Linked DNA regions of Oreochromis niloticus. The protein of the gene in region 2 purifies or fractionates together with the protein of the main gene of each other region. This does not show direct contact. Links are inferred from orthologs where the notes say so. Each region holds a gene or a part of one and is shown on either strand. Other genes may lie near its edges. The genes, in order: fip1l1b and cpsf1.

Region 1 (7,425 bases), on a different chromosome or scaffold from region 2:
GATGAGCCATCTCCGAATCAGAAACCTCACCCAGCAGCTTTTATTTAAACCAGCCACAAACTATAAAAATATGTACAGCACCACAATTTGCCTCAAACGTACGTGTACTGTGGCGCTCCGGTTTTTATGTCTCCAATCGTGACACGGACATCATCGTCGTCATCGTCACTGTCGCTGTCGCTCTCCACATCCTCGCCTGCAGCCTCACCTGTGGCCTGAAAATCCAGAAACAAAAACAACACAAGAAACATTCAGTGAGTTGAATCTAGGTTCGTAATAAAAACAAACAAAAATTATTGAAACTGTGCATGTAAGCTACACACCTCAGAGGCAACTCCATTTCCTGTAGCGTGCGCAGCAGCATCATCTGTTGAAGCATCAGCAGGGGCACTACAGATATGAAAACATTAGACACAACAGACCAAATATAAAATTTCTTCTCAGTCCAAAGTTTCTGGGTCCAAAATCTCACAAAGTTTTTTCACCTTGGTGGAGATCTGGTGACTGTGAAGGCCACAACATCTGATTTACATCATTTTCATACTCTTTAAACTATTCAGTCATCAGAGCACTGACATCCTAACAGAGGCCATTCTAATAAGGAAGGAAAATTTAATCAAAGGATAAAGGGGATCTTTTAGAAACACTATATTTACTTGCAGTGACCCTTATCTTAAAGAGAACAAGTATTAAAAAAACAAAACATGCCACCAAAATGTCACTTAAAACATAAAGCTGCCACAGCATGACCTCACTGTAGAGGTCAAGGTGTTACATTTTTCCTTTAATCTATCTGTATGTAAAACACTAGGAGAAAATTATGTTTCAAAAGACTATTAGTTTGTTTTTAAGTCTCCTTTAGTAACTTTTAATTAAACTAGATATTTACACGTACTCATGTGACCTGCTGACTTTTTTTGTTTTGGTTTTTTTTTTAAATATGTTTAACCACTTTTGTTATTCAAATTTAAGCACATAATGTAACTGTAAGATGTCTGTATGTTAGGTGGAGCCCAGGTGATGATATATTAGTAAGCCAAAATTATTTTTGGTCTGTCACAGATATGTTAGATGAATCTGTCTAAGGCTGGGGATAATTTAATAACGGTGTCATTATAAAGCATTCACTATGAGCCAGAGGTACCTTTACTAAACAAGATTAGATTATATTACACTAATTTTATTCTTTGTGCTGCTGCTGTAACAGAGTTTCCCCCGTAGGATCAATGAATCTATGACAGCAGCAATAGTGTCATCAGCATCTGCAGCACATGTGGATGAGTATAAATGAAGAGATGAGGTGTACAGTTAACGACTGACAAACAACATCCTCATAATTTTCTCTTTTCAATAATATTCTAACATACTAGATGTAAAGCAATCTAATCAGTCAATCACATAGCAGTAAATGCATCTCGCATGTGATTTTAGTTTGGATGGATCAGCATGACATGGCTGATTTCAGAAATCCACTGGGATTTTCCCATACAACCATTTCTAGGGTTTACAGAGAATGGGCTTGGGAAAATAAGGAAAGAAAAACTATCCAGTTCTCTCAGTGCCAAAGGTCAAAGGTAAATGGTCGGGTTGATTCAAGCTGAGGACGGCAGCAGTAGATCATATAACCAAATAACCAACCAAAGAATTGATTTCTGCTGCAACATTCAGATGGTACGCACGAATATCATGACAGCATTGACAAATCCTGCCTTGTAGCTGCCGCTTAGCGTTGTTAGTGATGTAATGGAGTGGGAGATATTTTCAGTTTGGCTCCCATAACACCAACTGAGCATTATTTAAACACCATATCCTACCTGAATATTGGTAGGTTCTCAGGTAGGATACAGCCTACCTATATCTCATCAGATTCTCATGGATGTACAGCGATTCATCAGTAGCAACTGTGTGATGTCATGACGTCAACATGGACCAAAATCTCAGATGAATGCATCCATCACTTTGCTGAATCTATGCCACAAAGGATTAAAGCAGTTCTGACAGCAAAAGGCGGCCCAACCCAGTTACTTGCAAGGTGCAGCTAATAAAGTGACCTCTGCGTGTGTATTAATAGTGCCTTTTATCCGTTCCCAGGGATACAGCATCAGCTGAAATCCACCTCAATAAATCTAAAAATTATTAGAAATTGAAATACTTCTAGAGTTCGTGAGAAGATTTTCTGATAGCTGTACTGAACTATATTACCTTTGCTAGTTACTCTGCCAACGCTCGTTGACCCTGAAATGTGGTACACACAGAGGGTTTTTTGTTTTTTTAAATCCAGGCTAGGACTGAATTATAGTTACCTGACAGCAGCGTTCAGCTTGGCTTCTTCATCCTCGTCTTTGCTCTCTGACTCATCTGGAACAGAAATTAAAAGCAACTGAGTTCATTTATCGTTATCTAATATATATTTAACTGAAGTTGTTGTTTTTTTTAACTAACAAGGTGAGCTGCAGAAAATACATACGCCACTTCATAGTCCAGTTAAACGTTATAACAAGCCAGAGTAATACTCAAATGATTTGACTCGAGCGGTGCAGCCACAACAGGCCGACCAAAATCCCGCTGCTAGCTTAGCTTCCAGGCTAACGCTCGTGATTAACGGGATAGCGCACAGTGATATCTGTTGTTAGCAGTTAATTAGGAACATAGCGAGAGACATCGTGTTCCACGTCTCTGTCTGTTCGAAGGAACCGTTTCTGTGGACGTCAGGTGGTTGTTTTTACCTCCATACAGCCATTCCTCCTCCTCGTCTCCGGCGCTGGCATCAGTGGTGGCTGTTTTGTCCGCTTCCTCCGCAGACATGTTAAACTTACACGGAGAGCTAAACCAGCAGCGGCTTCAACAACTACAAGCTTCAATAAAGCTCACAGGTGCAAAAATAACAGTAAAACTTCTCCCTTTATCGTGGAAACGTGGTTATGTACATAAATTATGTCTTCATAGGTTCATTTCCAACCTTTGCGAGTCGGAGTGAACCCGGAAGAGATTGGTGGCATCCCGCTAATGTCAAGGGTGATGGGAGAAAACACAGCGCCCCCAGCGGGCAAACTAACGGCTCCTTTTTTATGTCGCGTTTTTTTTTTAACACGACAGTGAAAGAATTAAATAAAACGTTATTTTGTGCTGTGACAATTAGTTAGATTGTTTTTTCAAAGTAACCACCCAAATACATGCCCGAAAGTGCTTCTTCACTCTCTTTTCCAGCTCTGCTTTTCTTCTAGGAGAAAGTGAAACTTTGCTACAAACTTTATTACTCAGTACAACCTGAAGGGCATTTAAAGCTCTTCTGCTGCCTTTTTGTTCTGTTATCTGTGAAGATGATCCCACACTGCTTTAATGATGTTGAGGTTTGGGTTCTGGGGAGGCCAATCCATGACTGATGGTGATCCTTCTGTGTTTTTGAATCCAGGTATACTGTTAGTGCATTGGCACTGTACTTGGGATCATCGTTATTATGAGAAATGAAGCCGATGCCAGTCAGACAGACAGAGCCTCCATCATGTTTTATGGTTGGCCCTAGAGACTCACTGTTGTACCTCTCTCCTGACCTCCTCTGTACATAGTGACAATTCGAATCAAAATTTTCAAATCTGGATTCATCACTCCAAGATCTGTTGGCACTCATTTTCAGACCAGCCCTCATGTAATCTGGCATACCTTGGCCTTTTGTCCCTGTTTCTCTTCCCTTCCTTCACTAAGAAAGGCTTCTTGCTATCCGCCCTTCCACTGAGAACATTTCTGAAGAGGCCAGATGCAACCCTCAGCTCCTGGGTCAGGTCTTTGTGGGATTTTCTTCTATTTCTTAAGGACATGGCATTCAGATACTGTTTATCTGCTGTAGAGAGTTTTTTAGGCCTTCCACTTATTATTTTTTTACTGTTCTATTCCAGTTTCCTCAAATGGTTTTAATGGATACCCTGCACATATCCATTATCCATATCCGTATGTCAAGTTTTTCGCTCTGGAGTCTAGACTCTCGTGGTGGTGAAGATAAGATGGAGGCTTGGATGAGTGGTTTGCATGAGGTGGAGTTGGGGAGGAGGTGGGTTGCATGAAGGAATCTGCAAGGAAGAATGAAAGATGGCCAGTGCGATGTAAAGTACGTAGAGTGGAAGCTGATTGGCAGAAAGATGACTGGACTAGAGCAATTATGTCAGCACTGAGTTTTGCAGCGTGGGAAAATGGAAGTGATGTAAAGAACAGACTGACAGCCAAACCCTGGTAGGAAATTTTCTCATATTCCTATCTCCACATGCATTGGGAAAAATGATGCCCCTCAGGGCCTCAGCACATGCGAAGCATAGCAGGGCAGGATAAGCACATGTCCAGATGATTAAAAAAAAACACTGTGTACTCCATTTAGCTGAGTGAGTTTCAAGCTCCTTGTCCTGCACGAAGGCTCAGTGTCACGTCTTACCATGGTGCTTTCATCGTTCATTAAATTAGCTCCCCCTGCACTTATGCTGTAAATGATCAAAGTGCCTGATCTGTTTAAGAAAGTTGTGTCTGAGTCTGAAGGCAGTACAGCCAGTGGCCTGGGGCACACACTGTACCTCATGTAAAAGGCCATGTAGACGCTTCAGCCTTCTATTTGTTTGCATTTCCGCCTGGTAAATTGACATAAATAAATCTACTTTTGTTTTTAGTATATCATGGGATGCCACACTTAAGATAGTCTAATGTGTTTTCAGCTGAACTATTTAGTCCTTCGAAATGTTTTGATGGTTCTCATAATCTGTCTATTCTGGACAGTAAGCATTTCCCTGCCTCTAGTTGGCTTTGATAGAAATGAAACTTCACTGGACAAGGTAATCATAAAAAACCAAAACACAAAGAAGTTGTGAGGGCAGAATTGCAGGTTTTCCAAGGACAATGCAAGTTTTACAGCTAAGCCATCTCTGGAAAAGCAGTAGAAGCAACTAAGTACATTTCCTTATGCAGGCTACTTCAATAAAGCACAATTTTAAGGTTGTTATTTCCTAGTTTTTGACTATTTTATCTGTATTCTTTATTTTTTTGGGTTATAGCAAGTAAGTTGTTACTAATGCAAATTATAAGCAATAAATAAATGATGTTAAACAATGTTATGTGTAAGCCAGAGGTTGTGAAAACAAAAGAGCTCTTCACCAAAGCCAATGTACTATATTGTAATTTTAAGAAAAGTAATCCAGATTCACAACAAAATTTATTGAGGTATTTCTCTGGTCGCTATCCACTTCTCCACCAGGTTTCATGAAGTTCAGCTCGATGGTTTTCGTGTAATCTTGCCGACAAACAAACGAATGCCACTAGAGACATACCTCCGCATCAGCTCCTGCCTTAGAAAAGGAATAAAGACTTAAACTTTGCCTCTCTCAAAGAGCTTTTATAAGTTTATAACCTCAAGAAGCAGCTGCAGACTCATCAGCAGCGAAATGACTTCTCATGATTGCTGTTGTGGTTGTTTGCACAAGAAGTTGCCTGCTAATGCAAAGAAAACTCTTAATGCATTTATGGCCTCTGACCAGTTAAGTGGAGCCACTTTAGCTTTGTCAGTAAAGGACAAGGAAATCTGTGGATTCTCTCACTCTCCCTCAGTTTTTACAGTGGAAATTACACAGAGGCGTGGCCTGAGTTCTGACGCTCACTGGTTTATCTGAGGCTGAAATGAAATTAATTTTTATGTAGTGCGTGCTCTCTCTCACAGGGAGAGTGAAAAATGGGATGGTAACACTATAGTTGTGATTATATTGATTTTTTTCCCCCCCATACCGTATGTGAGAACCACACAGGGGTTCATATCACGGGAATCTACTGTATCACATCATATGTGTGAGCTTTTGTGCGGCTCCCCCAAGTTTACGGTGTATTCACACACACACCACACAAACACACACACACACACGTACAGGGACTAATGGTCTCAAACTTAAACTGATCATGGAAATTGCATTTATTTCATTCACTCTCTCTCCCTCTCACGCGTCTCTCTTCCAGTCTGTTACTCCTCTGTGTTTTCTGATCACATTCCCTCCCTTTGTTTTCTTTATACCCCCACCTGCTTTTCATGCTCTTTTCTCCCTTTTCTCTTTTCCTTTCCATGTACTCAAGAGCTATTTAAAGTCAAATTTACTTAACTGAGATGATCGTAATTGGATAAAGTCTTGCAAAGCATCTTTTGAGACAAAAAGACAACAAAGCAGCATTTAAAGTAGAAAAGCACATCCTCCCCGAGGTTCAGTGCCAGAGTCCTGTTTCTTGAGAGAAACGACACAGATCTAAGAGTTCCTCTGTCATTCCCACCTGTCCATCCGTTCATTGAATTTTGCTTAGTAGTTTTTGTGTAATCTTGCTGATAGACAGTGTTAATCACTTACCACCAACTTAATTCTCACCTTGCCACTCTCAAGGTAAACCCTGCTTCAGCATTTACAGGTGCCATCAAAGACCTGGGCCTTTTTTTCTTACAGACTTACAAACTTATTTTGGTAACTGGGCATGGATCTCCGTGTTTTTCTGCTTAAGTAGCTGCCCCTGTGACCCGATAAACTTACAAACTGGACTTTATTATGCAGCCAGAGGAGGAGGAGTCAGCACTCAGGCACTTTGCATTTCATCTTTTATCCACAGTCTGTGCATACAACAACCATGCACAGAGATCTGCAGAATATAATGAGAATGAAAGGAAAAAAAACCACATTTGTCAAACAGAGCAGGAACGTGATTTAAAATAAAATGTGGTTGAACTCTTGGATGCAGTGGCAAAGGTCAAAACCACAGTGGAAGGAGATAAAAGCGGTTTGGAGGGAGTTCAGTTTGCTGTGTTGTTGCCTGTGTTTTTCCTGCGGGCAGTGATCTGCTTTGACACACTGTGCAGCTTCTCTTCGCCTGTTTTTCCCTGACGATTCCTCTGCCTTCTCTCTCCTCTCTCTCTCTGTCTTGTTCCTGTCTGCTTTTCATCCTCTTGCACCTTGTTTATCCTTATTTCCCTTTCTCCCCTTCACCCTATGTGCCACCCTGTCTCTCTCTGAGTTTCCTCCCTCCCTGCATCCATCCCTCTCTCCTTACGGTGGATTAGAGAGGCTTACAGCCTAGTCGATCCTAATCGGGTTTATCCAAGCAGAGGGCGATCGTTGGGCTATCAGTAATTACACACGCTGATATTAGCTTCCCCTGATATGCACCCTGGCACATTTTCAATCCACATCATCTCTTTGGATCAAACAAATGGTTATATCAACGGTATGATGCAATGACAGCTTAACGTGGCATTTTCTCCTTCTTTGTTTTGCAATACAAAGATCCATCTGTTCTTTAATTACGGACATTTCATTCAAGCTAAGGCCTTACAAAATAAAAGATCTGAGTTTGTTTTAAACTGTTTTAATGTGAAAATTCAGAATATAAAACTTGTGTTTTCTCTGCTGTTGTTTCAAGCAAAAG
Region 2 (8,017 bases):
GCTGCGCACAGACATCTTCAGGAAATGGGCCACAAGTGCCTTCCTGAACCCAAGACGTTAGAAACAGCTAACCTGGGCTAGACTTCTGCACTGTTTGAGGAGCTGACTACGTAACATAAGAGGCTGATGTCTCTGCCCTTATTTCTGGTTGCGTGCTGGTGCATTAACTGTTAATTATCATGTGGTCGTGTCCAGGTGTTTTATTTACAGTGCAGTCATGATAGAAATAAATACAAAGTCTTCGCTCTCTGTTGTGGTTAGTTTAGTTTTTTTCCAGAGGCAAAAATATTTGTCCTTAAAGTTTTTCCACTTCTTTGTACAATTTCTCTCCAGGAATCTGCTGATTGTGACTCCTTATATTGATGTTGTGATTTTTATGGTTATTTTTAACAGTTTGTTTTATCTTACTCATTTATGATTATTGACTCTTGTACAATGTTTGCTAACAGTTGTGAGAAAGTAGCTGAAACTGCAAAGAAGGGATGGACAGCCGTGAACAGCTAATCACAGTAACTGTGGGCTGTGTCCACCTGATGTGTGGTTAGTTGTAGTCATGTTACGTTGTAAGTAACTGCACTGTTGCTCATTGGTCCAACTGTCCTCTTCTCAGGTGAAAGTAAAATTTCCCTTTCATTTGGAAATCAAACTTCTAGAGTCAGGAGGAAGAGTGCAGAGGCACAGAATCCAAGGTGTGTCAAGCCCAGTGTGACATTTCCACAGTTGTGACAATTTGGGGTGCCATGTGACCTGCCAGTGTTCTTGGCTGTTGGTCCGCTGTGTTTTATCAAGTCCAGTGTCAACGTAACTGTCTACCCGCAGATTTTAATGCACTTCAACTTTCCACCTGCTGACAAGCTTTATGGAGATGCTGATCCTTTTCCAGTAGGACCCACCCACAGTGCCAAACCTTTGGCTGAGTAGTTTGCAGACAAAGTTACTGCCCTTAATTGGCAAGCTCAGCCAAACTGAATTTCATGGAGAATTTATGGATTTTATCAGTTGAGAAATACTAAAAATGGAGGCAAGCTGAAGGTCAATGTGAAAGCAGCCTGGGCTTTGATCACCTCTATGCTGCCCCGCACTTATGCAGGAATTTGTGATAAAGGCCATGCACTGAGTGTACAAATGGACATGCTTCTCAGAAGTTTCATTTCTGTCTTTTGATTGATCTTAGCAAATAATCTAATGATTTCAGATACTCGATTTATTGGAGTTATACGCCATAAAACAAAAAAGGCTTTAAATAATTCACTTCACTGTAATGAACATAGAATACATAAATGGTGACTTTTTTATTTAAATATTATTATGAAAAAAAGCTTTTTGAGAGGCACAAGAATACTGTTATAGTACTAGATGCATTGTATTTAGCAGTCAGTCTAGAATAATGAACTTAAGTACAAGCTATACCTGTGAATGAAAAGTTAAAAGGCTGATAAGGAAAGTTAGCTTAAAAGGAAGGTGCCCTTTTTTTAACTGAATCATGCAAAGCTACTCTAGTAGAGTAAAAAAAATCAAAACAACTGAGCTGGAACTGAGCGTAACAAATCAACTTTAATAATTAGATGTATAACTTACCCTTCTCCAACACCGCTCTCTTGTTCATCCGTTAGCGTGTCCTTTCGGAATGGCAGCACCACGAGTTTGGTGCCATAAACGAGCATTACAGCACAGCGATTCTCTGGATCTACACGCACAACGGGAATATGTACATTCTGTACAAAGCCATCCTGAAAATACAAGAACAGTTATATTCACAGTTGAGTCACTTTTACACATGAACATAAACTCAGGTTTATTTTTGTTGCTACATACTCTGAGCTCTGGCTCCTCAAAGTAATGAAGAGACAGTGTCTTGAGGTCATGTGTCCCAGGATCATACTCTACCACAGACAGCTGGTGAGAGACAAAACACAGGCAAGGGTCACTGAGAAACAATTCTAGGGGTTAAAAGCATGGTTTATTTAAGCAGCACACTGCTTGCTCTATAATACCTTTGCATCTTTGAAACTCAAAAGGAGTGCATCTCTGCTGGCTCCAACAAGTTGTACACTAGCCATAGACATGATGTTCCCAAAGAGAGAAAAGGAAGCCACCTGCTCCAGCTTCTCTTTACGAGATTTGGAATCTGCGCAAGAAAAGTCGAGACTCAGCAAAAAAAACCAAAAACATTTTTTACCAACAGTAGAATGTGTATTTGAATGAGATGCTTTCTTTGACATACCAGATGACTTGTCAGCCTTTGAAGTACTCTGAAATAGGACAAATGTGGCATATATCAAAAAGCCCTTTTATGCTTGTGTTTTAAAAAAAAAAGGCACAAAAAAACAGGTGAACCTTAGATTTAAAGTTACCTCCACATCATGAATGATCCTGTAAACAAACAGTTGAGATGTTCCAGCTACGACCAGGTTCTTCTCCTTACTGGATATAAAGTTGCAGTAGACAGAAAACTCCACTGAGGTCGGTGTGTGGGCTTGTCTGTACACGGCATACATGGTGGCAGGCTGCCCTCAGCATCTAACAGGTGAAAACACTCACGTCAAGACCTCTGACATCACCTCACCACTAAAACAATCGGTACACAGGTATGCGTGTATCTGCGTTAAACAAAAACTGCACAGACAATCCGAGCGCCGTTTTATAAATTACGTCAGTGTACACTTAAATAGGCTTCAAAACGATCAAATGCTAGCTAGCTTATGCCAGCGCTACATTTTGTCTGTGTGTATCAATTATTAGAATTTATTCTGATAACTGGTTTAACTTAACCAGCGATATCCACTCGTGTTGTTAGTCTCAGCTTCATTTTAGTTAGCTTCGAATAGCAAATGTATGGGAAAAGCCGGTTAAGTTAGCTGCCTTAGCAGCACGCTAACGTTCCCATTTGTAGCTGGCATGGCATAGTAACAGGCTACAATTTTTCAAATGTTTTCACAAGCAGTGAATGTAACGCGTGGACGTACCTATGTCCGTCACGTTATCTGAGTTTGCAGCTTTATTGTTTCCTCCCTTGTTCACAGTGAGCGTGACATATTTTGTGTGATACCAACTTAAGCTAGCTAACCGATAGCAAGGTTAGCTGTCGTTGTTGTGGCTGCGTTGGTCTTCTTCTTCGTGTTTTTTTTTTTTTTTAGCCAACCACTCCAAGGCACATTAGCGCCACCTATATTTAGCATTTTGATAGCAGCTGCTGTCTCAGAGTTATTTTGTGTGTGTACAGATATTTAAAAAAATGAAGTGAAAGGGGGGCAGAGCTTATCAGTCTGTGGCGCCAAGGCTTTGTAACAATGTCCCACTACAATTACATTTATTTAGCTGACTCTGTGGACTCTTTAAAAATAGCTAAAATCTTTTTTGTTTAATCAGGCTTTTTGTTGATTCTTTTACTGATTGTAATGTGTTCTGTATTTGATTTTTTTTTAATGAGATTTTAATGGCATTTAATTTTCCATATTTATCTTACTCAATTTTGTGTACAGCATTTGTGCACACTTGTCAGTGAAAGACAGCTTCGAAAACATTTCTTACTTATTAAGCCAGGTTTATCCCAGCAGAGTGCGCCAAGTGAGTCATTTGTTAAAATAGGTTTTGTGGATGAATGTGTAGATCCCACATGTGTTAGAGGTACATCACATAATGAGGATTTGTTGATATTGTGTGCTGAAACCTTAATGAGAAAATATATAAGGAAACAAAGGGAAATATATAAATAAATAAAAATAAATATTACCAAAAGTATTCGCTTGTCTACCTTTACAAACACATGAACTTGAGTGGTATCCCTTAATCCATAGAGTTTAATATGATCGGTCTGCCCACAATTTGCAGCTATAAGAGCTTCAAGTCTTCTGGGAAGGCTTTTCACGGGGTTTATAAGTTGCTGAGTTTAGGCTGAACTACTGTCATTTCCAATCGCTTCCACTTTGCTTTAATACCACTAACAGCTAACCGTGGAATATTTAGTAGTGAGAAAATATCAAGACTGGACTGGTTGCACAGGTGGCATCCTATGACGGTACCATGCTGGTATTCACTGAGCTCCTGAAATGGACCCATTCCTTCACAAATCAAAGCAGTGTGCATGTCTAGGTGCTTGATTTTATACACCTGTGGCCATGGAAGACCTAAATTCAATGATTTGAATTATACTGTAAACACTCATTTAAGCAACTTTTTTTTTTTTTTTATAAATATCGCCAGACTCCACCCAACTTTATCCTCAGCTGTGCTGTTACAGAACTGCTGTTACAGGTGTGCTACGACACCCATCTCCAAAATACATTTAGCATCTTTTTCATTCATGTTTCATGTAAAGTTATAAGATCAGCACATACTGGACAACATGTGTGCAGATACTACAGATGTGTTTGTTATAGGTCAACAGTGGTCTAAGATCTACAAATAGGGTAAAACGACCATCAAACGGTTTCTCATTTAAAGTTTTATTTTTCGTATAAATGAAGTGGAGCTCTCTTAAAACGAAATATTCTTCATTAAAAACAACAAACATGATGCTAAAAACAAAAGACTTTTGTAGTAACTGTAAGACAATCTAAATTAAACACAGCAAAAACCCAAGGCCCAAACTTTCCAGGACTTAATTAAAATCCAAGACTTGTGATCAGATAAGAAGGATAAGCAGAAGAGAATGGATGAATGGATGGACTTGTGATGAGAGCACTTGGAAAAATGAAGGCACTGTAATTAAAATCAGGCTGTCTGTGCTCACTTCATTAAACAAGGATCAGCAGAACTAGTGAGAAGACAATCAAGAACTATCACGTTGTGCAACACATACTGGAGCTCGCAGATCATTTTGGTTCAGAAAAACAACAATACACAGTCTGTGACGTGTGCAACAGCTGTGATGGATATAAGGCTTTAAATTTTTAAGACAGAACAGAGATCACGAGACTCAAAACAAGACAGAATTATCTTTAATTTGTGTTCAAGTGTTTTCAACTCACGCCCACCTGTACGTGAAGAGCAGTGGACTACACACCTCTACTTTTTTTGTTCTTATTTTAACCACACTTAAGTTTTATTCTTGCATAGCCAAAAGAAAGAAAAAAAAAACTTTAGGGAGAAACTCAAATAACTTAACCGAAACGTAAAACTAAATAGGGGTCATATTCTTGTACTATCAGATCTGGCTCATTCACAATAACCTCTTACTGATGGAAGCAGGCAGACAGGAGTGCATGTAGTACTGTCAGCAGGCTACTAATCAAAAAGTTGTCTTCCACTTATAGGAATACAATGACATTAACAGAGGAAAAGACAGGCTAATATTAACTGGAGTGTGGGAGTGATGCCAGTGAGTACCAAATTGACTATTACAAGTCAAATGTCATGCAATAAGTGCTGTCTATGTAAAGCCGCGGCACAATGAGCTGTAAATGTGCTGAAAGGGCATGTTTAAAGTTACTGAATGAAAACTGGCTTCTTGGGTTCAGTCGCTTGATTCTTTTTAATGACATTACAACGTAGTGAGGAAATCAAAGAGGGGAAACGATCAACAGAGAAGCACTTCATCGGTTTGATCACGGCTGATCAAATCATTACACCTTAGCCCTTTATAAACCAAAATCGCTTTTTTAAACTGAAGGCAGAAACATTAAAGCATCAGCAGTCTGCTCTCTCCAAATGTCATCGCCGGCGTCTAATCCATTCTCCTCAGCGGTGGATTCTCTGGCATGTGATGAGATATTCTGGAAAAGCTTGTGTGTCGTTGAAAATGACAAACATCGACGGCTTGGTAATGTTATCAGTCACGCTGTCGTATCTGAGGGGGATATCTCCCGTCTCCTTCAGCGGGGCCGTCTTCATCGAATGGCAACCTTTGGTGTAGTCTCCCGTTAGAACTTTGGACACAAAAATAAACTTGTATCCATCCGCGTTTGGGGGGGAATACTGATCCTGGACAGATAGAGCCGAGTTCACAGCAAAATAGACCCCCTGACCGTAGACGGTGGCTGCGTGGAAAAAAACAGAGCATCAGAAGATGTGACAAAACCCGATGTAAACAAGACAAAGAAAGCCAGCATGAAAAGCGTACCATTCTTTCCACAGAAGCTTCTGTTGAAGCCATGGACGCATATCTCCTTGACGCTGCTCTCGCTCGTGCCGTGGTACAGGATGCGCTCGATCTGCGGGTAGGTGGCACGCTGCAGTACGCTGGCCTTCTTCAGCTTGTACTGATTGTACAACAGCTTGTTCATGAGCTTCTCAACCTGCGAACAAAACAAAAATGATTGTAGTCATCACTAAAGCCACAGTCAGCTGCTGCAAAAAAGACAGAGCTCATCGTTTCACCTGTATGATTCGGATTTTGCTGTGATATTCCTGAATGGTCTCGTAGAATTGCTTCACCACGTTCTGGAATTCATCAGATTCCTCATCCACTTTGGTTGCTTCGGGGAAGTTTGATAGCACGGAGTAGTCATCTTCTGTTAAACAAATTATTTAGTAAGCATTATTTCAGTTTTTTAAATGACTCATATTATTTAATAAAATAAACAGGGAGCTGCAAAACTGATGCAAGTGGAAAAACTAACAAGAAGTGCAAACCTCCACCAAGGCAGCTCGCTCTCTTTGGCGGCATTTTACAGTTTATTTTGTATATATTTATTGTTTTCTTTGTTCTTTTTAAATTGTACCACAAATAAAAACAGTACAATTTTAAGCAGAGCTTTAAAGGTAAGGAGATTGTTGTTTAAATGTTTGAGCTTTCTTGACTTTGAAGATAAGGTCAGAGGTCCAAAGTAACGTGATATTTAGGTACCCACATATATCATTCCCTACGTGTCCATATGCTGTCAATATAAACAGCAGCAATAAGAACCATAGTTTTAAATAGCTCTATACAGCATTATTATCATTTTGACCTTCGGATTTATCTAGTGACAATGTTGAAAATACACACCACATTTATAAGAATAATAACTTATAAGTTTTAAGGCTTTTAGTCTATTTCTGACTAATAAATCATGAAGTTGACCTTAAAGACCTTGGTGGATATAAGCCTAATTTTAACAGATTGCTAACATGATCCCACTCTACACCCCCACAAAGTTTTATCAGAATTCATTCTTAAGTTTTCGAGCTATGTTGTTTACCTTGGTGGACGTAATAAGTAGTTAGAATTATATACATTTCCCTAAGTCTCCCCACTCAGCTGTTGACATGAAAATGTCTTTCTTTATTACACACTTTACTTTGTTTTATGCTTTAATAGTTTATTTCAGGCTTCAAGAATGGTGCATGCAGGTACACAATGATAATACCTCTGACTGTGTGCTAATCTGAAAACACACAGAGGAGCTAACTACAAATACACCTAATATTCCTCACAGACAACTTCAGGGGCTAAAAACCGAAGCCAACATTCCTCTAATGGCCAAAAATGAGTCTGGCTTCAAAAGCAGAGAAATCTCTAACACTCCTGTGTTAAAAAGCTCTATAGCTAATCCCTCCTTTTATAACAACTGTCCATTTGGATACTGTTAAAGCTTCAATTATTGGTGTGCTGACACAGGTCCCTGTGGTCAATAGCTGTTTGCTAGGCTTAACCTCAGCTAATTGGCGTCACTGAACCTGACCTCACACAATATTTGTGCTACGGCAACACCTTTAATTAAGTTATATGAAAAATCATATAGCCTGTTGTGTGATATAGCATAAGATAGCTGATGACATTTTTGACTTGTGTGCTAATCATTTTCTGGATTTTGTCTCTTTCACGGCCCCACATGAAGCATCATTCCACAGAAGGCTTAATAAATCTCACTTTACCTGGTACACTGTCACTTAAATCATCTAATTCGAGCAACTTCCTGCTGATCTGCGCTGATTTCCCCCGAAGCGATGTTGTGTTCTTGCATCTTCTCAAAAGTTGATTGTGTGCGGCTGATTGTCTAGCAAGACGTCAACCTTCTTCAGCTTCTTCCTAAAGGCATTCTCAATGAACACTGTGGCTTCGGGAGAATAAGGAGCAGTGACAGAGGAGATCGGG

Evidence for each region.
Region 1: the proteins of cpsf1 (region 2) and fip1l1b fractionate together in Homo sapiens (co-fractionation; 8 studies listed by BioGRID and IntAct, with this or other methods). This does not show direct contact. The link is inferred for Oreochromis niloticus from reciprocal best matches to the Homo sapiens genes CPSF1 and FIP1L1.

The regions. Positions count from the first base shown.
Region 1 is NC_031971.2:23,839,684-23,847,108, reverse strand, and holds the start of fip1l1b (pre-mRNA 3'-end-processing factor FIP1), read right to left. Parts: upstream 3,015-7,425; 5' UTR 2,806-3,014; coding exon 2,727-2,805; intron 2,359-2,726; coding exon 2,304-2,358; intron 391-2,303; coding exon 324-390; intron 216-323; coding exon 103-215; intron 1-102.
Region 2 is NC_031985.2:31,557,109-31,565,125, forward strand, and holds the start of cpsf1 (cleavage and polyadenylation specificity factor subunit 1), read right to left. Parts: upstream 3,133-8,017; 5' UTR 2,967-3,132; intron 2,521-2,966; 5' UTR 2,499-2,520; coding exon 2,355-2,498; intron 2,253-2,354; coding exon 2,225-2,252; intron 2,129-2,224; coding exon 1,995-2,128; intron 1,897-1,994; coding exon 1,816-1,896; intron 1,731-1,815; coding exon 1,579-1,730; intron 1-1,578. Other genes in the region: parp10 (poly [ADP-ribose] polymerase 10), read right to left, coding at 7,891-8,017. UniProt on the Homo sapiens protein: Component of the cleavage and polyadenylation specificity factor (CPSF) complex that plays a key role in pre-mRNA 3'-end formation, recognizing the AAUAAA signal sequence and interacting with poly(A) polymerase and other factors to bring about cleavage and poly(A) addition.